Linked DNA regions of Lonchura striata. The main gene of each other region encodes a partner of the protein of the gene in region 2 in a complex. Links are inferred from orthologs where the notes say so. Each region holds a gene or a part of one and is shown on either strand. Other genes may lie near its edges.

Region 1 (8,008 bases), on a different chromosome or scaffold from region 2:
ATTTAAATGTATTGACAAGAAGATAATCTCCTGTCTGAAGAGCTTGGGCAGTGATCAACAGTGAGACACTTTACCATGTAAGGCGGTCATACTCATTCTCCAGCTTGTAGATAAAACTGACCAAGGAATTCTTCAGGTCGGCCACCTGACTGATGAGTGCCTCCAGGGTCAGTTCCAGCTGCTTCTCCTCTCTCTAAAAAAAGGCAAGACAGACAAGGGAGGAGGACAAAAATGTTGTGAATTCACGCCCATGCATCCATGATCCAATCTGTCCTACAGACAGCCTCCTCTTCAAAGGAAGCAGGGGCACTGGAGATAAAAATCCTACTATTTCACACTGACCGCTTTCCCTAGGGTCAGACTACTTAGGCAAGAGACTTGTGCCTGAGAGGAACGCTTGGCCAGCTGTCCTGTTAAAGATTTAGGTGAGTGAAGACATCATCACTTACACCACATCAAGCAAAGTCATCAAAACTAGCTCATGCCACCTTTGTAAACCACTTAAGCTAACCCAGAACAAAGAAGATTAGCATTCCCTCAGCCTTTTCTAAAGCAGCTGTGGGTGCTGTGATGTCTTTATCCAAAACAGTCTTTGCAAAATGAGTACCATGGACCCTGGACTAATAAAGTTTCTGCCAATCTTTACTTTCTTTCTGCCCATGTGACACTTCCAGCTGCCAAGGAAACTGGCAGCTCCTCCTGGCCTTGTGCCCCGTGGGCTGTGGGAGGCCCTGCCGTAACACAGACTGGCACTGTACCCACACACACACTTTAATCCTGCCTTTTGCTGGGATTACATTGTTTTAAGAAATCTTCCCCACTGACATCCCCTTCCGGGTGAGGGAGGATGGTGACAGACAAAGTGTCAAGACTGGGGATGTGTTGCCAAAGACATCAAGGCATGCCCTTGATTCTTGCAAAATCCCTCTAAACTCTTATCTACTCTAACTTACTCATACTACAGTATTGTGCAAAACATAATTAAAGTTCCAGCCCTAAGGAACTGCTCGAGTAAGTAGAGAACTGTACAATAATCCAAGAGGAGGGTGGGACAAAGCAATCAAATAATAGAAAGGGAATACCGATTGGGAAAGCAGATAGAGTGACTCACACTGTTGGCATGCTTGCTATTGGAATTGTTATTGTTCCGTTCAAATACACTGGCCCAATGTCAGCTTCATGGAGAGATTATCAGGCACCTTCCATGTTCACGAGAACACATTATTCTATTTTATTTGTACTCTGACAAGTTGGTAATCACTGATGGGACTTCATTTCACTTTAACCACCTTAGAACAGCTGAATCAACCTTAGTAAAATTTGATCCCCAGTCCAAGGAGTGGACTCATGGAACAGATTGCTGCTGGTTGTTCCACCTAGAGATAAAAGCACACACACATGTTGTGACGGGACTAGTCAGTTCCTGTCCAATTAAGAAATGTGCCTGCAACAGTTTGTGTGCAGTGTTTGTGCAAGGAGGTTAACTACTGCCTGCATTACAAGCTGGGCTGGTAGCCAGCGTTTTACTGCAGAGGTGCCAGGCATATGCACCCACAGCAATTCCCCTGGCCCCCCACCTGTGCTTATCCAAGAAGCCTTCAAGAGGATGAATAAACCCCATTGCACAAGGAGCACTCTCATGGCAGCAGAGCACTCCAACCCTCCTTCCCTAGGCTCTTCCCAAAGCCATCAGGATCTGGAAGCAGATGCAAGCAGTGCAAGATAAACACAGTAAGACTGACCCCTCCAAGAGGACACTTTGAGGAGTTTGTTAGCAATGTTAAATTGGCCTGAGGTAGTAAAGATAGGGCTTATGGTAAGGGTTCTGAAGGACCTCCTGATACTGAGCAACTGAGAGGGAAAGGTGAAATTCAGAGTAGGTAAAGGTAAAACAATGCAGACATCAAAACAAAGGAGAAAAAAAATCCTGACTGGCTAAACAAAGGGGAAAAAAACCCCATGACTTTCTGTACACAATGACATTATCTGAGCTGATAAGGTTGTAACTCAAAAAGATTTCAGGGTTATCTGAGGGTAACCCATGAAAACATCATCCCAATCCTGGAAAAGCAGTCAAAGAAGTAAAAGTGACTACAGGAGTTATTAGGACAGCTACGGAAACTAAGCATCATTATGTCACCATATAAATGGTGCACCTCCTTTGCATCTCGAATATAACATGTCACTCTTGTCCCCCGAACTGAAAAGGAATAGAGTAGGAATATGATAAAAGCAATGAGGATGGTGAAGAATATTCATAGTTAAAAAAGTAAACAACAAAACATACAACAAACCACCACAACCCAAAAAAACCCAAACAAACAAACAACCCAGTGAAAAAGACTGGCATGACGAAGTGGCTGAAACAAGGAGAGCCGATGTAACAAACCCTATAAACAAGGAACAGCGGGACAATCTGTTTTCACTTTCTTTTCCAGCGGGACAAGCAGATCTGTATGAGGCCAGCGGGCTACGCTTTCAAGCAAACCAAAGGAGGTGGATCTTTACAGCCTGCTAACCTACCATTAATGCTCTTTTCTTTGGACAATAAGGATGCTACAAATTCACAGCTCTTAATAAAGTAACGAGGTTCTCCTCGATCAGCGGCATTCCGTCCAAGCGGGAGCGGGGCGCTCAGCCGCGCACCCTCTCACCCCACAGCCCGCGGCAGCGAGGGGCACGGCGGAGCGGCAGCGAGGGGCACGGCGGAGCGGCAGCGAGGGGCAGCAAGGGGCACGGCGGAGGGGCAGCGAGGGGCACGGCGGAGCGGCAGCGAGGGGCACGGCGGAGCGGCAGCGAGGGGCACGGCGGAGCGACGGCGGAGCGGCAGCAAGGGGCACGGCACATGGCACAGCGCAGCGTCGCCGCGGCTGCTCGGGACGCGCTCGGCCGCCCGGCCGGGCTGCCGCAGCCCCGGGCGGGCGCGGCCCCGCGGAGCGCCCGGCCCCGCTCCCCGGCCCCGCTCCCCGGCCCTCACCTGCATGGCGGCGGCGGCGGCGATGGCGGCGGCGGCCCCGCCCCGCTGTCCCGGGAGAGCCGCGCTTCCGGGGCGGGCCCGCAGCGACATGGCGGCGGCCGAGCGGCCCGACGGGGAGGTGGGTGCGGGCCGCGGGAGCGGGGCTGGGGAGCCGAGCCGAGCCGAGCCGAGCCGAGCCGAGCCGAGCCGAGCCGAGCCGAGCGCGCAGGGGACGCGGCCGCCGTGGGCAGCGCGGGCCCGGAGCAGCCCGGGGTGAGCGGCGGCGCGGGCGCTGGCCGGGGCTGCTCCGGGGCTGACCCGCGCCGCTGTGCTCCCGCCGCAGGTGGAGGAGGCAGGGCACGTGTTCCTCCTGATGAAGAAGGACTATCGCATCTCCCGCAACGTGCGGCTCGCCTGGGTCCTCAGCCGCCTGCACCAGGTCATCCGGGCCGTGCCCGAGCCCGAGCTGGTGAGTTGGTGCTCGGGGCTGCATGGTGTCACCGCTGGTGCTGCGCCGCTCAGCAGCGCCTGCACCCTGCAGAGCATTTGAGCCCCTTTCTCTTCTTTGCTTCTTCCTTTGGTGTGGCTTGATGTTCTCGTATGTGCCGTTTGCTTGTTCTGGCAGGTGAAGTCAGAAAACGAGCTCGATGTTCTCAGCATCCTGCCCAATGGGTGGCAGCCAGACGAGCCGGTCCAGCCCAGGCCCTACCTCCTGGTCCCCTCTACACGGGTCACCTTCCTGGCCCGTCAGTACCGATTTGTGATTGAGCTTGATCTGAGCCCTTCCACGGGGATTGTGGTAAGAGCAGAAACTGCCTCTCTCTGGGGTGTTCTGCATTAAAACAGAAACCCATTTGTATTTACTGAGGAAAGGTTTATTGCTCTCGGTGTCAGTCTGAGCTTTTATAGAAGTCTTGTTTTTCCCGGGAGGGAACCATACTGTGCCCCTGCATGGGGATTTAATGGCAAATCCTGTTTCTCCATTGGATGCTTAATGTGTGACTTCTGTTCACAGGAGTTGTCACTATAATCCAGCTGCCGTTGCAGAAGGATGTTTGCTGTTGGCTCTGCACAGTGGGACACCCAACAGTGAAATTGAGGGTCCTAGGAGATGAAAAAGCTGTTCCCTTTCTCTCTTTCTGTAGGATGACTCAACGGGGGAGATAATTTTTGATGAAGTGTTTCATGCCCTTTCCCGATGCTTGGTGGGATTGTTAAGACCCTTTCGTATCCCTGGTTCAGACATTATCTACCAGCCAGAAATCTTTGTCACCATCCAGGTGTATTCCTCCATCATTGGCCTGCAGTCCCACCAGGTAAAGCTCAGGCTCTCCCTTGGCGCGGCGTGAGCAGCTCGCTGTGCTGTGCGGGTGTCCTGGGAGCACAAGGAAAGCGGGGAGGTGGCAGCTGGGCTCTGCTGCCTGTTATGCTGCAGGCTTGTCTCACTAAAACATGTGGCCTGGCATGATGCAGAAGTGTGTGTGAGCAACTTCTCCTTCCTGGGCAGGAAGCAGAGGTTTGTGTGGAGAATGCTGCCCTCAGGCATGATCTTAGAATTGGACCACAGGGAATATTTGCCTCATGTCGAATGTGTGCTTATTGTTGTTCTTGTTTTGTTGTTTGGGAGTTGTTTTTGTCTTTAATTTCTGTTGATTAATTATTTTTGCCTGTTTTAATTAGCTTGAAGCATTCAAGAAGAGCTTGTATGACCAAAAGCTTGTCTCCCTGTTCCAACTCTGTAGCAGTGGTTAATGCAAAAGTAGTTGTCTCTTCCTACAAACCTTATTTTTGCACTGATCTGAATATGCTGCTTCTTGCTGGAGGGAACAGCCAGCCCCAGTATTGAGATTTATCAGTGAGATTTTATTTGTGTCGTGACAGGTCTGTGTAATAAATTCAAGTCTGATTTATGGGGCCAGTGTTATTTTCGAAGTTCATCTTTGATCTCTTCTACCTTACAGTATTTTCACATAACTTATGTGTTTATGGTCGTGTATTTCATCCCTTTGCTAATACCAGGGGAAGTGCTTGGTAACAGGAGGAGCCTATAAGTCTATGCTTGTTCCCTCTCTCCCCTTCCCCAGCCCTCCCTGCCTAAGCCTTCTGCCAGGGTTTCTGTTGTACATGAGGAGTGTGGCCATCACTTTGATCTGTTCTGAGGTGTTGCTGGAGTAAGTGTAGCAGGAATTTCTCCATTTGCCATTGATGTATTATGTGTCATCTTGGCCTGCAGACCATCATGCTGTGCTTCAGTATCTCCCCTATTTACACTATATTGAGCACTCTGAAGTTGCTAGATTTTTCTTCTTTGGACCTCCCTAAATTCCCACTTTGTATATGAGGCCATGAACTGTGATCTCTGGGAACAGCTGGATAATTATTCTTTTATGGAGGAAAAGGTGTATTGTGTGTATCACTTATCCAGGAAAGACTTTCTGTGGTAATCATTTATTTCTCCTGTGCCACTGTGAGGTCTTGCCCATATGAGGCTGAGGAATGTGGATAACATGCAGCACCCCACCAATCTGCTGAGGGCTTTGTCTGCATGTTGTATCTTCTTTGTCTCTGGTTGTGGACAGGGACTGAGGGATTGCCTGTACCAGGGTGGCATCTGTAAACACAGGTGTCATGCCTGTCACCCTGGGGAGTTGCTGTGGTGGCAGGCTTCCTCTGTAAGCCACTCTAATGTAATGTCCACTCTAATTGCTTCTTTTCTTTATTTCAATTTACTGTTCCCCTTGGAAGATAATTTAATCAGTCTATAGGTAAGGTAGATTAGAAGAAGCAGGCCTTCCGTAGAAGCATCAGACTACAGTTCATGGTTTCTAACAATGATCCCACATCACTTTCTCCTAATAACTGTTTATCCTGGAGAAAGTCAAATGAAGTAGAAGTTTCTTGCCCAAGAAGGAGATTTCCTAAAGTGTCATGTAGGTGTCTGCTGTGGGATGCACGGCAATTGCCATGAGGTACCACTGCTCACACGCAGTTATTTTTGAGCAGGAACAGAGAGAAGTGGCCTGTGCTGTACCTGTGCTTTGTCAGGGATGTGTTTGACCTTTACTGTGCAGCACTGTGTTCACCATCTTGAGGGCTGGTGCTGTAAAATATTGACTTGGTGACTGACACGTGTGTCTTTGGGCCAGGTACTATTCCAGGGCTGTCAGCTGGATGAGACGAAGCGTGAGGCCTTTCTGCACCAAGTTTACACACAGCTCTGTGCCTTTGAAAACAAAGTGGCAGAGATGCTTCAGCAACAATATGAACCCAAACCACAGGTAAGGAGTGCAGAGGTAACTGGGCTCTCTTGGCTTCCTGGAGATGTGCACTCTGAGGCCCCGCTGAAGTGTGGTGGCAAGAGGAAAAGCAGCAGAGGTCTGCAGAAGGAACAGCTAAGGAGTTGGTGAGATAATGTTGTGGGATCCAGTAATGAGACATGAACACTGAGGAAGCAGAACTATTAAGTGTTGAGAAGGACTGGTGAGGATGGTTACCTCCCCCAAAGTTAATGTGTACTAAGACAGCCTGGCTGTATGTTATAGGAGAAATGGTAGGATGTGCTTTCTCTCTGAAGAAGGTGGTGGGAGAGGTGATTATGTCCATATAATTAATCTATAAATAGCTGTGAATATGCCCTTGTTACATTTCTTGAATAAAAATACTTATTTTTTACCATGAAAACTGGCCATGAAGCTGAATAAACAGCCACTTTTTTCATGAACTCCTTGAAATCTATGACAGATGCTGCTTAATAGCCATGGCTATATGTATCAGCAAATTAATGATAGAGTCCTAGTATGGTGTGGGTTGGAGGGGACATTTAAAGATCACCTCCCTTGACCTGCTGGCCATGCTGCTTTTGATCTTGCAGTCAAAGTCATTGCTGGTCTGGCTAAGGTTATTTAGTCCTTAGTTAGCAGTAGTTATTAGAGTTCGGGCAAAAAGGAAAAAAAAAGTCCCAGAATCAGATGACCAAGAGGCTATTGGTGATGTATTGCAGTTGCATATCTGAAGTGCTTGGAATCTCATATTCTAGCAGAAATTTGTATGTTTCAATGCTAAACTGCTGGTCCTGAAACAGGAAGTAGATTGCCGGAAGTAAATAACTCAACCGGTGAGTCCAGATGGTGTTTTTGCAGAGCTTTGTATACATTCCTGCTTGATGCAATATTTCTCTCATGGTAAATTACCCTGTAACTTCTTCCATGCAAATGGAGGAGAGAGACGCTCTCGCAGGCCAGAGGGACTGGCGAGTCCTGCCACAGGCTGTGGGGTGGAGGTGGAGGCCCCAGGGGAAGGGCAGGGACTGAAACATTTTTCACTTTTGAAGTTGCACTTGCTGCATCATTGTTAAAAAGTATCTGAATTAAAGGCATCTGGCAAATTAAAGTGACGGACAGTCAATATTTTTCGCTCACAGGCACGGAGTGCTCCCATTTGTGCATAGCAAAAGTTTAGTTAGTTCTAGTTTTGTTTTACAAGCTTCAATCATCTGTAGCTTTGAGGGAGGAGGGGGAGGGGTCTCAGCTATTCTCAGCATTAGCAGGAAAAACAAAGCAATGTTTTATTGCAGGGTTGAACTGCCAGAACCTTTTGGGGATTAAGGGACTAAGAATACAGTAGGTTTCTCACTGGTGTAATTATACAAATTTCAGGCTTTGCCTAGAGGATATTTTTCATAGAAGGTGCAGAAGCTTACCTACATTTGTTTATGTCATTATTGCATAATGAGGGCCATTTGAGTTGAATGCATAGGCACAAGACTTTGTCTTTATGAGGCTCTTTGCCCCCTCTGCTACAGAGCTTCATGAGTGAGAAGTAGCTGCCTCTACCTCTCCTGTGTTTCTGGGCTGAATATAATAAATTAAGTAGATGCTGAATAGCTGCAGCTTCTAAATGGCAGGGGGAGAAGGAGGTATTCACATCTCTTTAACTGGGAAGTGCTTTGCTCCACAGAGGAATTTTAGTGACCCCAAAGTGACCCCAATTTCCCCTTCTATTAGAAATCAGCTTAATATAAAGCTCTGAGAGGCTGTCCCTCCACTTTCAAGC
Region 2 (7,487 bases):
GCAGTACCCAGTGAAACAAGTAGAAAAATGCATTTACACACAAAACCTTCACAAATAAAACAGTATTACACTTACCCAGGAAAAGCTTCTTCAATTACTTCTGTTTTCTGTAAGAGAAAAACCCCAAGTGAGCTAATGTTAGAAGGTTTTCTATGACAATCATGGCCACAGGATGAAGCACAAAAGACAAAGTCAATTGTTATGGGTCTGTACCAGAGAATGATAGGTGTCTTCTGCTATTCCAAAGATGAGACTGTTTTGTTTTCACACAGACATATAAAAGTTGTGGATCCAGATGAAGGCTTTGTTTCTTTGTTTTGGGTTGGTTTTTTTTTGGTTTTTGTGTTTTGTTTTTTGTGGTTTTTTGTTTTTTTTTGGTCTTCTAAACATCTAGAGATCAATTCACTTCCCAAAGCTGGAGAAGTTGATTGTCTTATTACAGCTGTCTTCTCATCATTTGAAAAATTAGCATTTTTGAATTCCATTAAGTTTTTGCCCTTCTTATGTTCATGACATTCAGTTACACAAATCAATTAAATACAATTACTTTCCCATCCAAATTTAGATCCACTGCTTTTTAAATTCGACTGAATAATGTAATGGTCTTGTACTAGATAAAAAAACCAAATATGAATATTCAATAAGACCTTCCTTTACCCCCTCCCCCTCTTTTTCAACTTCATTTTGCTCAAAGGCTTCTACATCATTATTCTAGAACTTCAGCAAATAGGTTCTGGAAAATATTATCCTAAAGCCTTTCCTACTTTTTGTAAGAATTTCATATTATACTCAGGTGTGATCTATCACTGATATTATGTGTTTTCATTGTTACATTACAGACACAGAAACATGTAACAAAATCAACTTGCTGGTGTTCCTTTTCCATCATTTGGCTCAGAATTGTCTGCCACTGCTACTCAAGAAGCAAAGGAGAAGCTGACACTCATGTGATCTGCACAGAAAGCAAGGTAAAGTTTGATGCTGACCACCAAGTCCGTACCAGCAGCAGGGAAAGCAGTAAGTTGCTATTTTATCAGTTATGGCTCTAAAAATACAGGGAAATTTTCTCAGGAACTATTTTGTTGTTGTTCCTTATGAATCTTAGACAAATAACAGTACATAAAACCAGGTAGCGTGACAACACAGGCAAATGACAACATTAAAAATGTGAAAATAATCTGAATGGCCAAAATGAGGAATCAGTCACATGTAGGCAATTGATATGCTACAAGCAACTTAACACCACATAAAGAAAAGTACATCATGCATTTTATAATGCCAGCTTAAAACAGAATGGTTAGGCTTTTCTTTCCTCTACTGAAATTCATCACATGGAAATAATTTTCACTTTCTCTGAAATCTACAGATTCTTTCCACTTCAGACATTTGAATCAGCTTATTTTTTGTCTGAAATGTCAGTCAGGCTCCCATTCAGGATCAGCTCCTGTCACCCCAGTGTTTCCAACTGTGAATGTCTCCTATCTACCAAGAAGCTCATTCATTTGTGCTCCACACAAGTGTGATTAATAACCCACTGACCTGGCTTCACAAAGGGAAAGTCCTGTTCAACTAATTTAATATCTTTAACTAATTTAATATCTTTTATAAGGTAATGATAGACAGATATTTGTCCTCTCCACCTAAAGAGGACAAAGAAAAGGCAGTGGAAGTACTTTTTCTGGATAATGCTTTTAATACTACCCCTCATAGCATCCTTCTGGACAAGCTGTTGAACTGTGGGATAAACAGCTTCAGAATGTGCTGGGTGAAGAAGTGGCAGGAGGGCAGAGATCAAAGGGGTGCAGTCAGTGGGGCTGCATCTGGCTGGTGATGGGTCACCAGTGGTGTTCCGCTGGGCTCCTAGAGTTCAGTATATTTATATAATGGTGCAGGAGGTAAATGCAGCAGGAGGTAAATGCACCATTAGCAAACCTCCTGATGATACTAAACTGGCAGGTGCTGTTGACTCTCTTGAGGGATGAGAGGCCTTAAAAAAGGATGTGGATAGACTGGCGCACTGAGCAATCAGTGCCATCAAATTTAGCAAATGCCAGAGTCTGTACCTGGGACAGAGTACAAACAAGTACTCTGGGCACAAGAGTTAACTGCTGGGCACAAGTATAAACTGGGACAGGAGCGGCTGGAGACCAGCCCTGCAGAAATGGATCTGGGAGTGCTGCTCAGCAGCAGCTCAGTGTGAGCCAGCAGGGAGAGCCCAAGCAGCCAGGAGGGCAAATCCCATCCTGGGATGCATCAAACCCATTCAACATTCACACAAAAGAGGTGATTATCCTGCTGCACTCAGCTTTGGTATGGCCACACCTCGAGTTCTGTGAGCAGTTCTGGGGCCTTGAATGCATCCATGGGCAGGCAGCAAAGCTGGGTAGAATGCTGGAAAGAATGTCGTATGGAAAATGGAGGGAGCATTTGGGTTAACTGTGCTTCGTTTTGCAGGCAGCATTGTGCGTGTGCATTCCCACAATCCGATCATGCCATTATGCTGTCTCGCCTACTCGGGACATCCATCTTCTCCTAGGCTCCTGCAGAACTCTTTAGACTGCTTATTTTACAGCAAATTCAGCGCTCTGTGATTCGGTACTGGCTACGCAAGCTGTTTTACGGCCGGTCCTCTGTCCCAGCCTTCCTACAAAGCCCAAGGCCCCGCCGCCGCCGGGAGCAGCAAACACGGCCGGGGTCGGCGGCGGGGCTGCACCGCACCGACAGCGCCAGGAAAACCAAAAGCACCTCTCCCACCTGGCTTTTCATCTCCTTCGGTGCTCCCCACCCCAGAGGGAGCACTGCGGGCCGCGGGGACCCGGAGGCGGCCCCGGCAGCGGCGGCGCTCCGGGGACGGACTCACCACCACCTCCTCGAAGATGCTCTGCAGCTGCGTCTCCATGGGCACCATGGGGATCGCCATGGGGCCGGCGGGCCCCGGGCCGTGGTCCGGCGCCGCCGCTCCTCCCGCCGCTCCTCCCGCCGGAAGCTGCGCCCCGATCCCGCTCCCCGGGAAGCCGCTGCTCGGCCCCGCCGTTCCGGGCAACGTGGGGAAAGCGACGGCGTCTTAAGTCTTGGTTTTGTTTTTCTTTTTGCAAAAATATTCGCTTAGGCTTCTTTGGTTTTTGTATAATATTTTATTTGAATAATTTTTTTTTGGGGGGGGAATATTTAGGCGAAATGCTGCTCTGGTTCTTACGGCAAGGAGCCGCATTAGGGTGTAAGGATCTCATTATTATGAGATCTCTCTCTGCAGGACTGATCTCCAGCCGCTTCTCTCCCTGTTTCTACTTGAGCCCAGTTTGGTGTAATTACTGTGAATCATAGAACAATCTGAAAATGCGTTTATCTAAAGACATCCAGGAGAACAGAATCAGAGCACTGCAGGATGGGTCGGGTTGGAAGGAATCGCAGTGGATCATCGGCTCCATCCTCCCTGCTGAAGCAGGGTCATCCCAGAGCACGTGGCACAAAACTGTATCCGGGTAGTTCTTGACAGCCTCTCCGGTCAATCTATTCTGGTGCTTGATCACCTGCACAGTGAAGTTCTTCCTCATGTTCTGCAGGATGTGCATCAGTTTCTGCCAGTTGTCTCTTGTCCTGTTGCTTGGCACCACTGAGAAGAGCCTAACTCCATCCCGGCATCTTCCTTTCGCATACTGATAGACACTGATGAGTTCCCCTCCCAGTTATCTCGAAGCTGAAGAGGCTCCCTCAGCTTCTCGTCATAAGAGCAGTGCTCCAGTCCCCCAGTCATCCTCTTAGGCCTCCACTGGAGCCACTCCAGCAGCTCCATGTTGCTCTCGGCAGAGCTGGACACAGTAAAATGCAATAGTATTACATTTAAAAATGAGTACAAGAGTATTACATTAGAATCTTGGGATCATTAAGTTGTGAAAAGACCTCTAAGAATGTCAAATTCGACTGCCAAGCCGATCTCCAAATCATGTCCCCAAGGGCTACATCTACACATTTTTTCAACACTTCCAGGGATGGTGATTCCACCACTTCCCCGAGCAGTCTGTTCAAATGCCTAAATACCCTTTCAGTGATGAATTTTTTCCCAATATCCAATCTAACCTCCCCTGTTGCTATTTGAGGCCATTTCCTTTTGTCCTATAGCTTGCTACCTGGGAGATGTGGCTGACCTACACCTCTGCACAGCCTCCTATCTGATAGAGAGCATTATATTTATATGTGTATATATATGCAGATGTTTTTATACTAGAAAGAAATGTAAAATGCTGAATCAAGACAGTGCTAAAATTTTGTGTGTGTTTGATGCTGACACTTTATTTTCTGAGCTGTCTGTGGATGTTAAGCTGCAAACATGCAGCTGGTACTGGTAAACAGGTACAAACTTACGTCTTGTACAGAAAAATAAAGCTGATCAACTCCCTGTCTGATCAACTATCAAGGTGATAACCAGAGGCCTCAGAGCAGTGAAAAATTAACGTTTTCAGGCTTGGAGCTGAGTGGAAAATAGCAGAGTGGGGGAAACACTCACATGGAATTGGATAGACAATTATTTGTTTTAAATGTAAACAGCTTTTGTGTAAATAGGCCTGGAAGAATACATGACATAAACAATGAGAAATGTTATAAGTAAATTTAAGAAGTACAACAGAGGACAGTGATACGTGTGGCATCCGTGCTTGCACAGCTAGAAGAGATGTGTTTTGTAGACAACAGGCACAGGATGCTTTGAAGTCAGTGCTTTCTTTTCAGCAGTGGTTAGGAAAGAAATAATGCTTACATGTGTATTATTTAACTAAATGTACGTAACAGATGATCATTGAAAACAGAGGGGATGCAATTGAAGGTCTGCTTGTGCTTGCTTGTCTTGCTCTTAGAATTGGGCTGCCCTCGGTCTTAACGTGAAGTTATTTATTCTGTAAGAATTGTTCTTTGTACTCTTCATTGTGTATTTATTTAAAGAGTGTTGCACAACAATCTGAAATGCCCATCAAGACCCAGTGTCAGTATTTGTCCATTCAGGACAGACTACCTTATATATTATTAAAATGACAATGCACAGGGTATAAGTGTCTACTCAAATTTTGTGCCAACCTCCTAATCCATTCTCACAGTGACTCATAAGAGGACTGGAAATTAGTTGCCTAATACAACTTTACCTTGATTTTAAGTCACTAGCCAGCATACATTCCAAATAGAACTTAGCATGTAAGCCTAAATCTAGATGGTAATATTTAGTAGACAGACTTGGTCTAATCCTAGTTAGGGTCCTGGTTTACAACTTGCCCCAAATACTATACCATATTTTGAATTTTAAAACTGAAACCATGTAATGGTCTTGAACCCCCAAAGAGGTTCAAATGGTGATTTCTGTCCTGAATTAACATCTTGTCTAACCAGATCTCATTTTAACAAAACTGAGCTACCTATGATCCTACCTTTGTGTAGAAAAGTAGTAGAAAGAAGGCTCTTGGTCAGGCGCAAAGAGTATGACACATTATGTAGATGGTTATGATTAGATTTATTGCTAATACAGTGTCTAAATATTGCCAAAGCAATATTTAGTATACATTATAATATATTAGTATACAATATAAACATGTAATAATATATAAATGCACTATAACCGGCTTATATTATAACCAGCTGGAAATATACAGATTTACAGTCTTTGGCCTTACAGAATTCACAATGGCAAAGCACCTGTGGAGATGCTTTAGGATTTTATCTCTTTACCTGACTGGGTTTTGGTGCTTTTATTCACCTGCCCAAAAGTGAGTGTTCCTCATCTTTAGGCTGAATGTACCCTGCAGGCATCCCTTCCAGGACAGGGGGATCTGCCTGGAAGCTGCCTGCTGCCTGGGAGACCAGTCTGCCCAGTTGGCCCAGTCTCCAGCAGTAGTTTAAACACTTTTGCAGGCTGATGTGTGCCCAAGTCAGTCGAAATCATTACACCTCCCTGTCTCTGAAATTTGTCTTTGTGGAATATCCATACTGTTCCTCCTGGAATGATCACTGTCCGTTCTTATCTTAGCACCATTCTCACTTGGTTTTCTTATTTTAGGACAAATCATATTTCCCATGGGACACAATTGTAAAGGAGAGGGGTGTGTGTATGGGGATGGGCACACTTGAGGACCTGATGAATTTATCTCAGTCAGAGTTTAGCAGAGAATCTCATTGGGATGGAACTGGGAGCAAGGGGTGCTGGGGCAGGTCAGGCCTAAGCAAAGATCTTCCTGCTTTGCCTGAGGGAGCCAAGGATCCAGGGGGAGAAACCGTACTGCCATTAACCCTGGAGCGACTGCACCTGGGTCCATCTGCCAAGGCATGAACCATTATGAGACCCTGCCTGTACTGAGTAACAGAGCCACACATTTTACCAAACAAGGCAGAAGAGGTGAGGATGAAATTACTCTCTTCACCCAGACACAGAAAAAGAAATGCACTTTTCAAAATTATTTGTAAATACTATTACTCTAGCAAAACCACCTTCATCAAAATGACCATTTTAATGACATTTATGAGAAAAATGTTTAAACTTTGAAATGTTTTTTTCCTGAGTGCTATTCATTTTAGAAGACAAATGACAAATGAGTACAAAGATATCTTAGAATGTATGGTGTATAGGGTCTTTCTGGCTCTTCATGGCCCTGGAGGACTTTTAGCTTCTTAGCAGTGAATATTGAAAGTGTCTACAACACAGCGTTATTCAGAAATTATCCTCCCCAGTTTCCTGACATGCTTGTTAACATGTATATGTCAGAGATGTCCTGCCTGCGTTCTTTGAAAACACCTTCTTCTTCCTGAAAGTATCAGATGAACTGAGGACTGCAGTGTAACTATGGGGGAATAGGTTTTTTTATACCCTCACCCTGCATTGGTATTGTGTCAGTCTGTATGCAGAACAGTCACTCAGAGTTATGATTTAGTAATAGAGAGCAGAAAGGATAATTATGTCCTTCTTCCTTATTGGTTTTTTTAGTCTTATGTATTGATCATATGGATTGTTTGATTTTTTTAATGTGAATTTTCTTTTGGTAGGGATGAAAATAAGTATTTTTAACATATGAGGCTGTTGATCTTGAAACAGAAAAGTTTGGGTTCTTGATTAATAGTTATCAAGTTTAATAATTGAATTTTATTGGTGAAAAATGTTCTAGAATATTGTAAATCATCATGAAGACAGTATAGTATGTCAAGTTAGAGCAATGATTGGGTAAAAGTAGCAAAATCAGGTATATGGGATCACATTCTGTTCATTTTAGCTGTTGCTGAGCAGTTCTTAAACAGACTGAGAGCCTCCTCTCTGAGTAGTGTGGAATGCACAAGAGGCTGGAGGGGGCACAGCTGGGACATCAGACCCCAGCTGGCCAAACTGATATTCCACACCATATGATGCTGTGCTCAGCGATAAAACTTTGGAGAAAAAAAAAAAAAAAAAAAAAAAAAAAAAAAAAAAAAAAGGCATAGGAAATGGCCAGAATAATAGTGTCTGCCTCTCCAAGTAATCA
Region 3 (7,250 bases), on a different chromosome or scaffold from region 2:
TCCAGGAGGCTTTATTTCCCAAAGAGTACCAAGGGCAAGCAGTGTTTCAGGTGCAGAATTCACCTGCCATGGATGGGATTATTCTCCATTGTGTCTTGGTGTTCTCAGGTCCTGTGCATGGGACTGGGAAAGCTTCAAGGTTCTGAGCCAGGAAGGGTTTGAGTTCAAAATTCCCCAGTTGATGTCTTAGGTTTCTTCCTTCTTTTGTAGATATTTTATCAGCTCCTTATCCTGTGTTTAGGTTTACTGGATAAATGATGTTCTGCACTTGTGCTGGGATCCTACAGAAGGGTTTATTATGATGAATGTGCCAGGACTGATGAACCAGATCCCAAAATGCATTATGTGGAGAAATGAGCTGAGGTGCTCAAAACTGGGAGGTGCAGCCACACCAAAGCCAGTGTTAGACACTAATCCTCTCTTCCAGACACTGAGCTGTGCTGTTTGAGGGACAAGAAATGGGAAAATGATCCTGGAATCAATTCAGACTTGCAAGAACCATTATCCTGGATATCTAAATCTACCAAACCCCTTTTACCAAATGATTTATTTTTCCTCTTAGTGCTACACCCATACCATCTCCCACGTGCTTAATGCCGCTTTCCCCGATGTCCTCCATCCCCCTGGATTTCTCCGTGGGGAAGAGTGACTTGAGAACCTCTCCCGCAGGGACATCACGGTGCCGCTGGGACTCCCGAGGGGCTCGGGCTGGCCCCGGGCACCCAGGAATGCTCCTCGCAGCCCTGGGCTGCAGCCAGCCCAGGGAAAACCATCTGTTCCCTTTGGAAAGGGGTTTGCTTCCCCCCGGAGCCCTCCCCCCGCATCCCGGCTCCGGCCCCAGCTGCCGTGTTTCGATGAGCACTGAGGGAATGAATCTCCTGCGTTTAAAAATACTCTGCTTCTATTTAGATGAAAAGAAGAATCTTGCTTGCCTACACTGGCATACAAAAATAGGCTCAGTGTGAGTAAATCTTCAAAGTTTCTCTTGGCGAATATATCTAGCCTCACTTTTTTTTTTTTTTTTTAACTTATATGATAAGTTTATTTATAGAGTGTCCTTCTTTCCTCCTACTCTATCAAGACATTTGCAGAAGGTTGTCGCTCGTCTTGTTCAGGAGTCCTGAAATAATTTGCAGGGCCTTTGAAACATCATCGTGTTGCATAGTTGTGATCAACGTGCTGCTGTTGCATGAACATATCATATTTTAATGTGAATGTCAGGTTAGCTGAGACATTCGGGGCTTTCTTTGACTTTAGCTGCTTTACACTGGTTTGTGTTTTCGCTTGAACACTGCAGTAAAAATTCTGCATATAGTAATTTAAAATTTTCCATTTTACATGCAAGGCATTGCCTAGAAAATTAATGTGTAATATGAGAGGATTAGTAAGATGTATACACTTTCCAAACATCTCTTAAAAATAGCTTTCACTGTCACTGTAGCATCTTAATTCTGAATAATCTCACAGTCCTTCTGCAAATCTGTGCATGTAGTAACAGAGAAGCCACCTACTTCATCCTCTTGAACTGCATAATATGGATCTGGGCATGGAAAAAAATGGGTTTTGGAGTAGGGCTCTGCTTTGGCAGAGAGGCTGTCTGTGGAACTAGTGAGAGCATTAACACTTGCATTAAATATTAAAATCAGCTTTCACAATTCTTGCCTATCTTTTCAAAAAGGCTCCAACGGCCTCAGTTTGGAATTTGCTCCGTGGTGCAGATCTGGGGAATCCTCTGCCAAGAGGTGGAAGCTGAGGAAGGGGAGCCAAGGCGAGTGTTCCTGTGCTGGGGGACACTCTGTGCCCGGACTTTGGCCCAGGCTGACCGGACGTGCCCTGGGCTGGGCTCCGAATCCCGGGATATCCACCGGGACTGCTGAGTCCAACCCTCACGGGCCAAACCGGGATCAGCCCCAGGAACGGACAGGAGCCCCGGCAGGGATAAGGGGCCTTAGGGGTGTGTAACTATCGAACTGGGGGTGCCAAAAGACGCGCCAGGCTCTGCCCCGTGCTGCCAGGACATGGCACAACGGGCAGGAACCGATGTCTGAACGAGAGGAAGAAGGTGAAGAAGCGTCCAAGGACTGGTGCCAGTGTCCCAGCCATGCTCCTGTGCTCTGGGCTGCCCCTTCCCGGCGGCCCGGGAGCCGCGGGCCCGGCGGGAGCGGGACTCGAACCCGCGCCGCCGCCGCCGCCCGCGGCCGCTAGATGGCGCCGCCCCAACGAGCAAGGCGGGGGCTCCGCAGCGCCCCGCACGCCCCTGGCGGCCGCGCGCCGCCGCCGCACCCGCCTTCCCCCAGCGGCGCCGGCGGCCATGGCGGTGCGCGCCCACGTGACGGCGCGGCGGCCAATGGGAGCGCGGCAGGGGGGCCCCGACCGCCGTCCCTGCGGCCGCCATTAAAGAAAAAGGGTCTCGGAATTAGCCGGGAGCCGGATCCGCGCCCGCTCCGGCCATGGGGGACCCGCGCTGAGGCTCCCGCCGCCACAGGATGCCGCGGCCGGGCAGCCGCCGACAGAGGCACCGCTGAGGGGAGCCGACGCGCCGGCGGGGGCTTGGCGGCACCGACTCCGCCAGCGGCAGCAGCGGCCGCCTGTGTGTCGGCGGCGCCGGGAATTGCGGGGCTCCGACCCCTCGGGGCTGAGCAGAGCCCGGGGCTCGGCCGCCGCCTGCCCGCCCTGCCCGGGAGCCTCGGGGAGCCTCGGCGAGGGCGCCCTCCGCCCTCCGCCCCCGCGGGGACCCGCACCTGAGGGCAGCGAGCGCTCTCGGGGCTCCCCCGCCCCCCAGGACACACCGGCCGAAGACGATCGTTTTTTATATTCCAACCCCCCACCCCGCCTTTTTTTTTTTTTTTTTTTTTTTCCCGCTGTTTTGTTGGGGTTTTTTTTTGGTTTTTTTTTTTGTTTGTTTTTATTTTTTCCCCCTTTATTTTTAAAGGACCGGCCTCGCAGCCGAGCCGGTCCCGCCTCGCCCCCCCCGCGGCCGGGGGTCTGGCGGGGGTCGCTGCCCCCTCCCCGCCGTGACTCGGCGCGGTCCGGGCTCCCCGAAGAGACTTTGCGGGGTCCCCCCGAAGCCCCCGAGGACAGCTGGGGAGGACCAGGCTCCCCGAAGACACTCTGCGATTTTCCGCCTCCTCCTCCCCCGAAAAGGCTGGGGATCGGCCTCCCGGAGACTCCTCCATCCTTCCCCGAAGAGACTTCGAGGGTCACCCGCAATTTCCTCCTTCCACCCTTCTCCCCTCCCTCCTTCTCCCCACGGAAGGAATTTTTACCCAGCGGAGGATATTTTGGTTTCGCCCTCGCTGCGAGGAGTATTTCGTTTTGGGGAGGGGGGGTTTCCACACGGGAATTTAATCCCCCGCTGGGCTGCTAAGGAGACTTTTGCGGCCTTTCTCTCTCAAGGAATACCTTCCCCCCTCCCCTGCCCCCGCAGATGTTTTTTTGGGGTACACCCCAGGAAATTTTTCTTGCTCTGCCTTTACGAATTCTTCAGACTGGCCTTGCTTCTGGCCCCTGAAGTTTGTTTTTATGATTTTAAATTTTAATTTATTTGGAATATTTTTGGAGCAGGGGAGAAGAATCTGACCCCCCCACACCCTGTTGCCCTCGGACTCCGAAGAGACGAGCCTGGATTTTTCTCTCTCCCACGGCCAATCCTTCCCAGTCATTCCACAATTTGCCCCTTTCTCATCTGATGACTAAAGGAACAGGAGGAAGAGGAGGGGGGGTTCTGGATTAATTGCCCCCGCTGGATTATTTATTTTTCCTGCTTCTCTTGCTTGGCATCCGAGAAGAGAGGAAGGAGGGATGTCAACTGATTTTTACCCCTAGCCCCCTGGATTAATTACCCCATTTTTATTCTCTTGTTGGATCAATTACCCCTTCACCTTACCTCCTCTCCCTCCCCTCCTTATGCGAACGAGAAGACAAGAGGAACAGGGAGGATTTTGATCTTAATCTCCCGTCGTTGGATTACTTACCACCTCCCTCTTTCTGTTCTCCCCTTCCACGGCGGCTTTACACCCCCGATTGAGCTCCAGAAGACGAAAAAACGTTCTGAGTTCCTCTTTAATTTTTTTTTTTAATTTTATTTTTTTAAATATATTTTTACCCCCCTCTCCTATACCTCTCTGTCTCTCCTCGCGGGTTATTCCCCCTGCCACTATTTCGCGTGCGTGTGTCTGTAAATCCCTTATTTAATTGTATTATTATTTGTGCGTGTGCAGAGCCCCCCTCCCCCTTTCCCTCTCGCTGTCTGTCTCTCCCTCTCTCCCTCTCTCTCCCTCTCTCCCTCTCTGTCTGTCTCTTTCTTTCTTGTCGGAGGCTGTGGGATAATGGCGTGTGGGTTGTGGCTGTGAGGATGAGTTCCTGCTTCGTGCCGAACGGGGCCAGCCTGGAGGATTGCCATTCCAACCTCTTCTGCCTGGTGAGTGTCGGCCCCCGGCGCACACTCGCCCGGGGCCACCGAGGGAAGGGCTGGGAGCTCTGGGGAGGGGGAAGGGGCAGTGGAAGCAAAGCAGCCATTTTTAGCAGAGCTTCTGCTGGATGAGCCCTCGGAGTAGGCCCTGCCTGGAGCAGCCAACTCTCCCATGCCCCTCTGGTTCCCCTCCATCGCTGTCTGTCTCGCCTCGCCCCTCCCTCCGCTTTCTTCCTGGATAGTAGCCTCCCCGCAACTCGCCTTTTCCTTCCCTTTCCGTGCCTTCCAACTTTTCCTCCTTTCTCCCCTCTATCCCTGCCTCTGAGCCTTTTCTCACAAGGGAAGGGAGCTGCTGCTGCCTCTCCTCCCGGCCCCACATCTCGGGGAACTTTCTCTTTTCCCTCCTCGCTCGTGACATCCCAGGCGAAACCTCCCGTATTCCTCGCTTTTAAACGGATCCCTTTCCCTGCTTGCTTTTATTCTGGAGGGTTGCTTTTGGTGATGCCCTGCCTGTCTTGTGTTTTGATGTGCACCATTTTGTAGTCTTTTTTTAAGCCAAGTAGCACATCGTTCATATTGTTGAATTTTGGTAGCTCCAAAAGTAAATTCGATATAACTGGACTGTGATGCAATTTTTTGGTGTCTGTGCTGAGCTGTTTCATCAGCTTTTAATGCAAATGAGCTAATCTTAGCTGTCTGACTGATATTTATGATTCCAGAGATTGTTACAACAATCCTGTGCCAATCTGTGGCACTCGTATTTTTGGATGGAGGGGAATCTGGACGGCCTGACTATGTCTGCAGCCTGCACCAGGCCTGCAGCTCCAGATTAATAGTACAATTTTAAATCTGAAAGTCTTTCTCAAGTAGCAACTGTTGCAGACAACCTTTCATCCAAATTGCTCTCCTGCTGAAGGTAGGGAGGCTGCCATGTTAGGTTTAAATGTTGCAGTAATCTTTTGTGTGTTGTCATATTGGGAAGACAAAAAATAGTAACTTAGCAAATGCCAGCCTGCCTTGCTCTGCCTTCCCAAAGAGAACCCGGGGCAATGCCTCCCCTACCTGCCTTAAGGTGCTTGAGTGACAAAACTGAGAGCTAAAACTTGGTGTTGTGGTGGAGATAATCCAGGAATTGTCTGCTTCCCATTACACAGAGTAGTAACTCTTGCCCTGTGTAAAGTCAAATTAATTATTGCCTAGGAAGGGGTTTAGTGGATCATTATCAACGTGCTTGCAGGTCTAACGAGGATTTAAATCCTTGAAATGTGGTGTGAGGAATGAAAAGTATGATAGCTCTTGGTAAAATCAGTGAACACGAGAGACTTCCCGAGGGAAAGACAGAATTTTTTACCATGGAGAAACTTGTGAAATTTTCCCAAGTGGTAGATGGCTGGAAGAATGTGTGATTTACTGTATCACCTATTTCCATGGAGTAATCTTGGATGGAAAAGGCAGTGTATGCACAAGTAAAGAAAGCCAAAGATGTTCTTTGCTAAGGCAAGTGTTTAGGAGATTGGACTGTGTCAGTCTGTGAATAATAACATTACTCACTCGTCTTTCACTCTTTACTTTAAATCAAATCTGATTTTTCTCTGTGTAACCTTAAAGCTGCAGTGCAAACAAACAACTCTTGCTTTACTGCAGTTATTTAATGAGCTATTAAAGCAGGATCCCCGATTGTTCCCAATGTACCTCCTAAGGCACACAAAACTAACCAACGTGTTTCAATTCTGAGGGATCCCTTTCTCCCCGTGCCATCACCTCGAAGCAGGATGTGCTCGCTGGAGCTGCCTGAGCCCTGACAGTTCTTTCCTCTCTCCAGGCTGATCTGACTGGGATTAAATGGAAGCGCTACGTGTGGCAGGGCCCAACGTCTGCCCCCATCCTGTTCCCGGTGACGGAGGAGGATCCCATCCTCAGCAGCTTCAGCCGCTGCCTCAAGGCCGACGTGCTCAGCGTCTGGCGCCGGGACCAGAGGCCTGGGCGCAGGGAGCTCTGGATATTCTGGTGGGGGGATGACCCCAACTTTGCTGACCTGATCCATCATGACCTCTCAGGTAGGAGCTTGCTCACACCATCCTTTGGTCACTGGAAGTACTCAGGGCTGGCTTCTGACACCTGCACCAAGTCGAGTGTTGTCTCCAGAAAATAGAAATATATTGCTGTAACCCTCACCAAATTATTACAGCAATGATCAACCATCTGCTCTGTGTTCAGCTCACCTTGGACTGCTGGATTTTCAAGAAACAAGGGTTTTGCTCCCCACTTGTTCCCTTGGAAAAAAAAAAACCAAAACACAAGCCTATGAGTTTTGGCAGCTTCTTCATGAGAAAGCTGTGCTGAAAGCTGTGCCTGTGATTCACAAGTGATGTCTTAAACATGTTTTGATAAGATCCCTTTTGTTGGGCAATTAGAATTTTTAAATTCAAATAGTAAAACTCATTATGTAATAAGAAGTGTAGAGATCTGGGCAGCTCTTGAACTGTTTGGAGTTGTTTTGGTTGGAATTCACACCATCAGTGAGAAGCCCTCAGAAGGAGGCACCAGGAACTAACCAGCTATTCCCATGCAAAATCTGTAAACCTTCAGTTTTTGTGATTCCTCTCCCCCCCTTTTCCTGGTGCCCTGAACCTGCTTTCAAACCCAGCCCTTTGAAAGACTGACAATATTTGTATTTCTCAACAATGTTGTACTTCAAATTTGGCACCTTCCTTTGGAACTGTTTGCTTGTTGAGCTCGATTCCCCACGTAGATGGTTTCCAGCTGCTTATCAGCAAGGTGACGAAGTTAGATATTTAAATTGGGTGAGTCTAAAGGTGAGACTGAACTCATTTGAGGG

The links.
Region 1: MED23 (region 2) and MED8 share a complex: the UniProt entries of both Homo sapiens proteins name them as parts of the mediator complex. The link is inferred for Lonchura striata from reciprocal best matches to the Homo sapiens genes MED23 and MED8.
Region 3: MED23 (region 2) and MED13 share a complex: the UniProt entries of both Homo sapiens proteins name them as parts of the mediator complex. The link is inferred for Lonchura striata from reciprocal best matches to the Homo sapiens genes MED23 and MED13.

The regions. Positions count from the first base shown.
Region 1 is NC_134611.1:15,037,229-15,045,236, reverse strand, and holds the start of MED8 (mediator of RNA polymerase II transcription subunit 8), read right to left. Parts: upstream 3,020-8,008; 5' UTR 2,984-3,019; coding exon 2,978-2,983; intron 2,636-2,977; exon of another isoform or gene 2,527-2,635; coding exon of another isoform or gene 2,524-2,526; intron 194-2,523; coding exon 75-193; intron 1-74. Other genes in the region: KICSTOR complex protein SZT2, read left to right, coding at 3,066-3,095, 3,300-3,425, 3,582-3,755, 4,102-4,272, 6,103-6,234. UniProt on the Homo sapiens protein: Component of the Mediator complex, a coactivator involved in the regulated transcription of nearly all RNA polymerase II-dependent genes.
Region 2 is NC_134605.1:59,767,062-59,774,548, reverse strand, and holds the start of MED23 (mediator of RNA polymerase II transcription subunit 23), read right to left. Parts: upstream 3,007-7,487; 5' UTR 2,921-3,006; coding exon 2,861-2,920; intron 108-2,860; coding exon 76-107; intron 1-75. UniProt on the Homo sapiens protein: Required for transcriptional activation subsequent to the assembly of the pre-initiation complex. Component of the Mediator complex, a coactivator involved in the regulated transcription of nearly all RNA polymerase II-dependent genes.
Region 3 is NC_134622.1:9,291,457-9,298,706, forward strand, and holds the start of MED13 (mediator of RNA polymerase II transcription subunit 13), read left to right. Parts: upstream 1-4,231; 5' UTR 4,232-4,354; coding exon 4,355-4,420; intron 4,421-6,233; coding exon 6,234-6,468; intron 6,469-7,250. UniProt on the Homo sapiens protein: Component of the Mediator complex, a coactivator involved in the regulated transcription of nearly all RNA polymerase II-dependent genes.